Lonchura striata: one gene and its partner. The protein of the gene in region 2 purifies or fractionates together with the protein of the main gene of each other region. This does not show direct contact. Links are inferred from orthologs where the notes say so. Each region holds a gene or a part of one and is shown on either strand. Other genes may lie near its edges.

Region 1 (3,750 bases), on a different chromosome or scaffold from region 2:
GGTTTGTGGATAACTACTTTAATGGCTGTTGAAACTTTCTTGTGATCATCTGTGTTCTACCAGCTCTAGGTGAGAAAATTCTTCAGGCCCTCTTTTGGAAAGTTCCTATCACTGACTTGAGAAGGTTTAGAAATTAGTGTCTTCAGCTGGTCACCTTCTAACTGGTTCTTGTGCAGTATTTCACTTGCACTAATAATTTTGAGCTCAAATTTCATAAAGAGCGGTGGTTGTGAACATTATAAATTAATAGATGCATTATTAAGATGGAAATAAATTACTTTGTCTCTTTCTTGGTAATTGAAGTTGTATCTAGAAATTACTCCAGTACTTTATTTTAAAAAAAGGCTCTCAATTCTGCTGCTTGGTTACATCCATACACGACAAGCAGCATGCAATGTGTGAGGCAGAAGATCAGCTTGGAGAATACTATTTCATAGCTGTTTTGTGAAGAAAGTAAGTTTTACTGTCATATAAGTAACAATTTTAAGTATTCTCAAAGCTGATGCTTATGGTGCTAAAGGACTAGAAATTTTGCAGTTACTTTTACTGGATATAAATGTAGACTTTGTGCAGACTAAAGACCTCTGTCACTACTAATGAAAAGCCCTCTGGTCTTATTATAGTGATTTCCAGCTCTCACCATAAAGCTTTTCTGGGTCTTCACAACTCATGTGGAATGATTTCATAATTGTGGTGAAAGGGGTAGGCAGGGGTAGCTGTGCTCCAGCTCTTCCTTGAGACTGTTTCAATGACCCTGGGGATGCTCATGATCTGGCTCCCCAGTACTGATGAATCTGGGGTTCAATTCCTTCCAGCAGCTCTGCTGGGAGCACTGGAATCTGCTTGCACTGGGTGCCCCGAGGCTGCTGGGCTGCAGGGGGAAGGTTTGTTAGGTAACACAGATCCTCTACACAGTTTCTCAGATGTACTGCTCCATTTATGCAGCATCTGCTGACAGAAACCTGTGTGGGAGGTGGTATTGTTTGTGTTATTTTCCCTAGAAATAGAAGATACTTGTGCTGAATAAGAGGCAGAGTTACTGCATAGCTTTTTTTAAAAAAAAAAAAAAGTTTCTTTTTTAAGCATTTATCTTTCATCTTGGATATGTTTGTTATTTTTTGCCCTTTCCCCCCCTCTGTGGGTAAGGGGGAAAAAGCTTAAAAAACTGTGTTTTTTCTGCCCATTGATAAACGTAATGAGATTTGAGTGTCAACATTAAAATGTTCCGTGTCATCAGCTCTGTGAAACTGCAGTGAAATATGGAAGCGAGGGAGAAAAAACTCCTTTTTCAGCCTGGCTGTGTCCCCTGCTAGGGTGCTGTGGGGAATGTTGATAAACACTGGGAAGGGCTGAGAGGTGGCAGAGGCAGGTGAGGAGCCGGTGGCTTCTGAGGGACCACAGAAATCTGCCACTGCATCTCCTCCTGCGTCTGAGTGCCAGAGGCTCCTAGTTAGGGGAAGCCTTTACAACTCTTCTGGTTTTTGCTTTCCCTGGATCAAGGAAATAAGCGATGCAATGGAAATTTTTAATAAACATTTCTAGCAGGAATAATATTTTACATCTCCCTCTGCCTCTGCTGAGTAAGTGCTGTCAGCTCCAATTGTTCATTACTAAGGAAAGTCTTCTCCAATTCATCTCTAGCAGTACTCCAGGTAGAGGTGATTTATTTTTTTTTTGTTACCTGGCATGGCTGTGCTGTCACTGCTGCTGCTGCTTGGGCTAATAGACATAACTGCTGCCGTGGACGTCGCACCTAGAATAAAAGCGGGGTCAAGGTGGAGAGGTGAAAAGAATCGTGAGTAACCCGGGCTTTTCCTTCTCTTCTTCTTCTCAGCTCTCTGTTTGAAGAAATGTGTTAGGCCTCATTTCACTGTGTAATTCTTCCTCTCTGTGAGGTTGTTCTCTAATAGCAGCCTTAAGGCCATGTAATTTAAGTATTTAAATATGCATATGGAAGGCACGGGCCACACCTTCCGTGAGCTCCACACATCTGCAGTACAGTCCTGTGTGCAAGCTCTCCGGACTGCCTGTGCTGATTAACTCCTCTCTTCCCAGGGCTTGGGAGAAGTCCAGGCTGCACCTTTTTTCTTTATATTCTTAGCATTTTGCACGCTATTTCAGATGTTAACTTTAATAAAGGCAGTAAATCTCACAGGTCTGCAGTTTGCGTAAAGAACCTTGTAACCCCAGTGATTATAATAGTGAATTTTATAGCTATACATGCATAGCTGTGTCTTAAAATCTGCAGATTTAGGTAAGGGGATATAAGGTAGAATTGCAGCTTGTGAAGGGTTTAGCAGTGCTGCACTTATAAAGAGAAAAGAGCATTTACTATTAGAAAAGGAAAGTAGATGAGTCATCATAATATTTGTGAGTGAGACTTCCTACTGCATACACAGCTGCTTGACTGAAATAACCAGATGATTATTTCCATTTAAAGGGCAACTCAATTCTCGCTGACATTGCTCCTTTTTCCTGTCCAGCTATTTATAAACAAGAATGCCCATGATGGGCAGCATAATATTAGCATTATGCCTGTAAATATTTGCTGAGGTTTTGTTGTGGTTTTTTGCTTTTTTTTTTTTTCCTTTTTAGAAACACTTACAATACTAAAAGAGAGAAAGAATATTCAAAATGGAATAAAGGGCTTTTGTTGAATTCAGCTAAATATGATATTGTTGCTTGGAAAATATATGTGATGAAAATCCCTAAAATAACCAGAACTTGGAGGGTTGGCTGTTGTTATTCTTGGAATAGGTGTTACTTTGTCAGTCCTCTTATCTGGAAGCTCATCTGCAGCTTGAGCAATACTTTTTTTTTCCCTAAAGCATGAACCTAATATCAATAAATTTGCTGCTTCTCCCAGTGCCCATATCAGTAGCATTAAGGAAGGAGGTGATGGGCTCAGTGGAAGTGAGGACTGCCCTGCCCACTCACAGGTACTTTACATCTAAAGCTCACACTGCCCAAACTATAGCAGGGAATAAATGTGTGCGTAAGGGATGCACAAAAATAGCAACCCACAGCTTATAAATATTTGAACATATGAACTTGTTATGACTAAAAGAGCCTTTTATTTTGCTCATTGTGGAAACTGAGGCACAACTGACATATGCTGAACGAAATTTTTTCACAGTATGTTTCTTTCTCAGTAAAAATACCTTCTAAAATAAGTATCTGTATATCTGTTATGAAGAAAGCCACATTCAAGAGTAAAACTACTGTACATTCATTTTTGGTTAATTGACTTGCAGGTATTTAAAAATTTCTGATTCTGAGTATTCAGTCTGCTTTTTTTCCTGTGAAGAATTGAAATAGATGGTGATATAGGCATTAATGTCTCACGAAAACATTAATAAAGTTAATCATCTTGGGATGTCATTTAGCCATGATAAGTAAATCATACAAATATTCAGAAGTTTAAGACTACCACCTGTTTGAAAATTGTTTTGCATCTACAATGTTTATTTAATGTCACCTGTATTAGCTATTAGACCTTATGGATTCATATTACTTGCTTTCTTCTCTCAGGACAGGGTGCTCTCAAGCCAGCACATTAGCAGATTGCTATATTTGGTTAAAGGAAAAATAAGCTGTAAATTCATTTTATAGCATCTTAATATTATATTACTTGATTGCTTAGAGGGATCAGTTGTTGAATGTGTTAAAAGTTATGGATCTTAATCAGCTCTCCTTGAAATTAAGAGATGTTTAGAGCAGACTTTAACGTTTCTTTTATTTAGATTTTAG
Region 2 (3,750 bases):
ACTGCACTGTTACAAAATGGAGAAATACAGACACTGCAGGTAAAGCAAATGTATGATGATGTACTAAGCATTTATTAGCAGAAAAAAAAAAAAGACAGACTTATTTCACTGCAGTGTTATAAACAAACTAAACCCCAATGTATTCTGTACAAATTTAATTCAGTTACAACAGCACATACAACACTGCAATTAACTTTTAAATGTATAACAAAAGTTATAATATTAATAAATATTACAAGTAATATTTAGATAATGTATTTATTACCAGGTTAGAAGAATAATACCAGGAAAGGAGAAGATTAAACAAATAAATAATATAAATAATATTTAGATAATGTATTTATTACCTGGTTAAGAGAATAATACCAGGAAAGGGGAAGATTGAACACCCGTAGAGCTACTGTCTTCAGAGAAAATCGTGTCTCAGTAACAGCTTCTTCTGACATGGCTCCTTCTCTCCCATACCTCATTAAGCAAAACTATCTTGAAAACAATCACAGATGGTCTCTGGAAGACTCTGTCAAAAGAGGGATACACACTATGAGGATGCAAAGGATGCATAACTATGCAACAGAAGCCCAGAACATTTTTCTTCTTCAAGCTCGAATCTCTTCAATCACTGGTACATGACCTGTTTGATTGATGGTCTTGAGTAGAGGCAAGACTTAAAGTGGAGACAGCAAATCTGCTGGTTCAGCTTAGGCCCGGAGTGTCAGACTGCTGTGTGCAGATGTGCAGCTGAACAACCACCAGGACTAAGGAGGGCTCGGTCTGCTTTGACTACCGGCCGCTCCCGTACTATCGCCTCTAAGTCACGCACGGCAACAACCCTGCCTCTGAAACCACCACTGCTGCAAGAATTAAAAGATTGGCGAGCAGCCAAAAAAAGTTTATCTCATTCAGCGCTTCGTTTATTTTGCAGACACTCCGCGAGAAACAACCCCTACAGCCTGACGTAATCTCCCCGATGCAGGCGCACCGCTCTCACTCCCCGATGCTGAACACCGGGCGAAGCCTCCGAACCGCGACTCCGGGACCGCAACCGGGGCACTGGGAGGTGATGGAGGCCTCGGGGCAGAAGCCACCTCCGCCCAGCCCGGCCGAGCCCTCTCCAGCCCGGGCAGCCCCGGCATGGCGAGCGGGCAGGATCGAGGGCAGCGGGCACAACCGGGCGCCCCGCGCGCCCCTCAGCCCCTTCCCTGCAGCCGCCCGGGTCAAAACGGGCGCGCCGCTCCCCGGGCCCGGGCTGGGTCGCTACAACCGCCGCGTCCAGTTACCCACCTGCCCGCCGAGCACCGGGGCGCGGGCAGCTCGCTCTGCTCCGGCCCCGGCGCTGCCCGGAGACCGGCGGGATCCGCTTCCGGCAGAGGGAGAAGCGGCCGCCGTCGGCCGGGAGGAGCCGCTACCACGTGAGGGAGACCGGCGGCGTTGTGACTCCGCGCCCGCCATGTTTGCTGCGGGCAGCTCCGCTGCGTGCGGCCGGGCAGGGGCGGGGTGCGCGCCTGGCGCCGCCATCTTTGTGCGGGGCAGCGCTCCCATGAGCGGCTGAGGCTCTCGGCGCCGCCATCTTTGTGCGGGGAGCGTCCCGCGGCGGCGTCGCGGCAGCCGCGCCCGCCCGGCCGCGCGTGTGCGGGGCGGCACCGGCGAGAGCCGCGGCCCGGGCGCGCCCGGCTCCGCCACGGCAGCCCCGCTGCAGCGCCGCTGTCCCCTCAGGCAAGGGCGAGACGCAGGGCTGGTCGCAGCCCGGCTGAGCTCCGGGATCCGTGCGCGGCGCATCTTCCCGGCTGCTCCGGTAAGAGAGGAAGGGCCCGCTTGGGCAGCGTCGGAGGGTTCGGTGTGGCGGGGGCCGGGAGCGCGGCGGGCCGTGTGTCTGGCTGGTCCCGCAGCCCAGGGCGGCGGTGCGGATGGCGGCGGCCTCGGGAGCCGCCGCGGTCCCGCAGCGCGGGGCGGGGGCCGGAGCTCGGCGGTGCCGGTCCGGGGCGGCGGGGCCGGGAGCGGCCGCAGAGCTCCGCGGTCCCGGCTGAAGTTGCGGCTGTGCGGCAGCGGTGCCGTGGGTACCGCGCGGTGCCCAAACGCGGCAGTGTCCCGATAAATGGCCCTGCTCGCTGCCCGAGCTCCCCGCGCCGGTGGATCATCGGCTGCAACAGCCCGGGGGAAAAGTCCCGGGGATCACCTAGTGGAAAATCACTGTAGGCTTCTCCTGCGCTTAGGCAAAGCCCGAGTTGGGAAAATCCTCTTAGAAATATAGAGGTTAGCTAATGGGTTTCATAGTTAGGATTTAGCGTGGTGGAAGAAGGAAACGAAAGAGTGGCCTGTGTGCCCTGAAAGCCAATATAAAATGAAAACTGTCTAACCTTGTAAGAGGATATACCCTCAACTCCAGGTTATTTTTAAATGTCTTTTCTCCGTGGGAACAGTACTTAAGGGCAGAAAAAGAATGTAATGGAAGTGACTTATCAGTTTGTGTCTTGCTTGAGTGGGTAGCTCTTGGTGCCTGAGGAGAAAGACCAGGTACCTTTGACCAGGTTACTGAGCACACTTTTGTCATCTAGTGGGAAAATACTAGGTTTTATGCTAAATAGATATTAAGTAAGTTCTCTACCAGAGCTGGGATTGGTGGTGTCATTTTTTCAAGAAATGGGATGTATTTGTTTATTGTGGATAGATTAAAAAGGGTAAAAATACAGATGGATGGGAGATAAAATTCAAAACTACTTATTGATTAATGGAATATAAAGGAATCTAGGTCAAGAAATAGGAAAGATGAACCTTAATTTGACACACTAAAAAGCCTAAGTTTGGTAAAAACATCATTCATGTACAAAAGTAATTGAAGGAATTTCTGTAAAGTTTAATTAAAACAACATATATTGATATTTAGAAAAGTGATTAAAAATATGTATCTTAACAATCTGAATATGCCTAAGGCTATCACTTCAGTAGGCTTTTATAGCTTTGAGTGAATGCTGGTGGGTTTTTTCTGAAGTGTGGAGAATGGTAATATGGTTAGTAATTACTGAACTTCCAGACCTCCTTAGTATTCTGAGTAATTAAGTGTTCAGGTACAAAGTTGCACCCTGTGTCACTCTTGCTTTGTTGCTAGAAGATATAAATAAATGTTAAATGAAATTGTTCCACTGTATCACTGGTAAAATAAATGTGAGTGCAACGAAGAAGCCTGAACTTACAGATTACTGGTTTGAGATGCTGTTATTCAAAGCTGTACTGACAAAATAATAAAAGCCTGTAATGAAGACACAATGGCTGCTTCATGTAATTGATGTCTTCAGAATAATTCTGTTATTCTTAAAATCTTCTGTCAGCATTCCCTTACTGAGTTCTGTAAAATGATCTGCTAAAATGACTCCATATTTAGAATATGGAATAGTGGAATACATAAAATATACAATTGTTTATTTGAATATCTGTTGAAATGTTAACTACTATAACTAGGCAGATGAAATAATTAATGCAAAAAAAATTTGAAAGCATTCAAATTCTGTTTAGTTTCTTTAGGAAATAGTGGGTTCCTTACATGACCCAAAGGTAATTTTTGAGATCAGTTGAATTTAATAGTGTTTGCTGGGAGTTTTCTGTGGGTGTGATAGGTTTTCCATGCTAGGCATCACACAAGTCTGTGATGCTGTGGAATTCTACTGAATAATAGATAGGTTGATGGTCATGATGCATTGAATCATGGTCCACATTTCTCTGATGGTTCAATTTTGGTTTTCTTGGAGGGTGAAAAGA

The links. Proteins that work in one complex are often made in the same cells at the same time.
Region 1: the proteins of USP33 (region 2) and ROBO1 purify together in Homo sapiens (affinity purification with western blotting; 5 studies listed by BioGRID and IntAct, with this or other methods). This does not show direct contact. The link is inferred for Lonchura striata from reciprocal best matches to the Homo sapiens genes USP33 and ROBO1.

Annotation. Positions count from the first base shown.
Region 1 is NC_134604.1:10,877,369-10,881,118, reverse strand, and holds the start of ROBO1 (roundabout homolog 1), read left to right. Parts: upstream 1-1,246; 5' UTR 1,247-1,686; coding exon 1,687-1,795; intron 1,796-3,750. UniProt on the Homo sapiens protein: Receptor for SLIT1 and SLIT2 that mediates cellular responses to molecular guidance cues in cellular migration, including axonal navigation at the ventral midline of the neural tube and projection of axons to different regions during neuronal development.
Region 2 is NC_134611.1:15,816,648-15,820,397, reverse strand, and holds the start of USP33 (ubiquitin carboxyl-terminal hydrolase 33), read left to right. Parts: upstream 1-1,629; 5' UTR 1,630-1,792; intron 1,793-3,750. Other genes in the region: MIGA1 (mitoguardin 1), read right to left, coding at 348-470. UniProt on the Homo sapiens protein: Deubiquitinating enzyme involved in various processes such as centrosome duplication, cellular migration and beta-2 adrenergic receptor/ADRB2 recycling.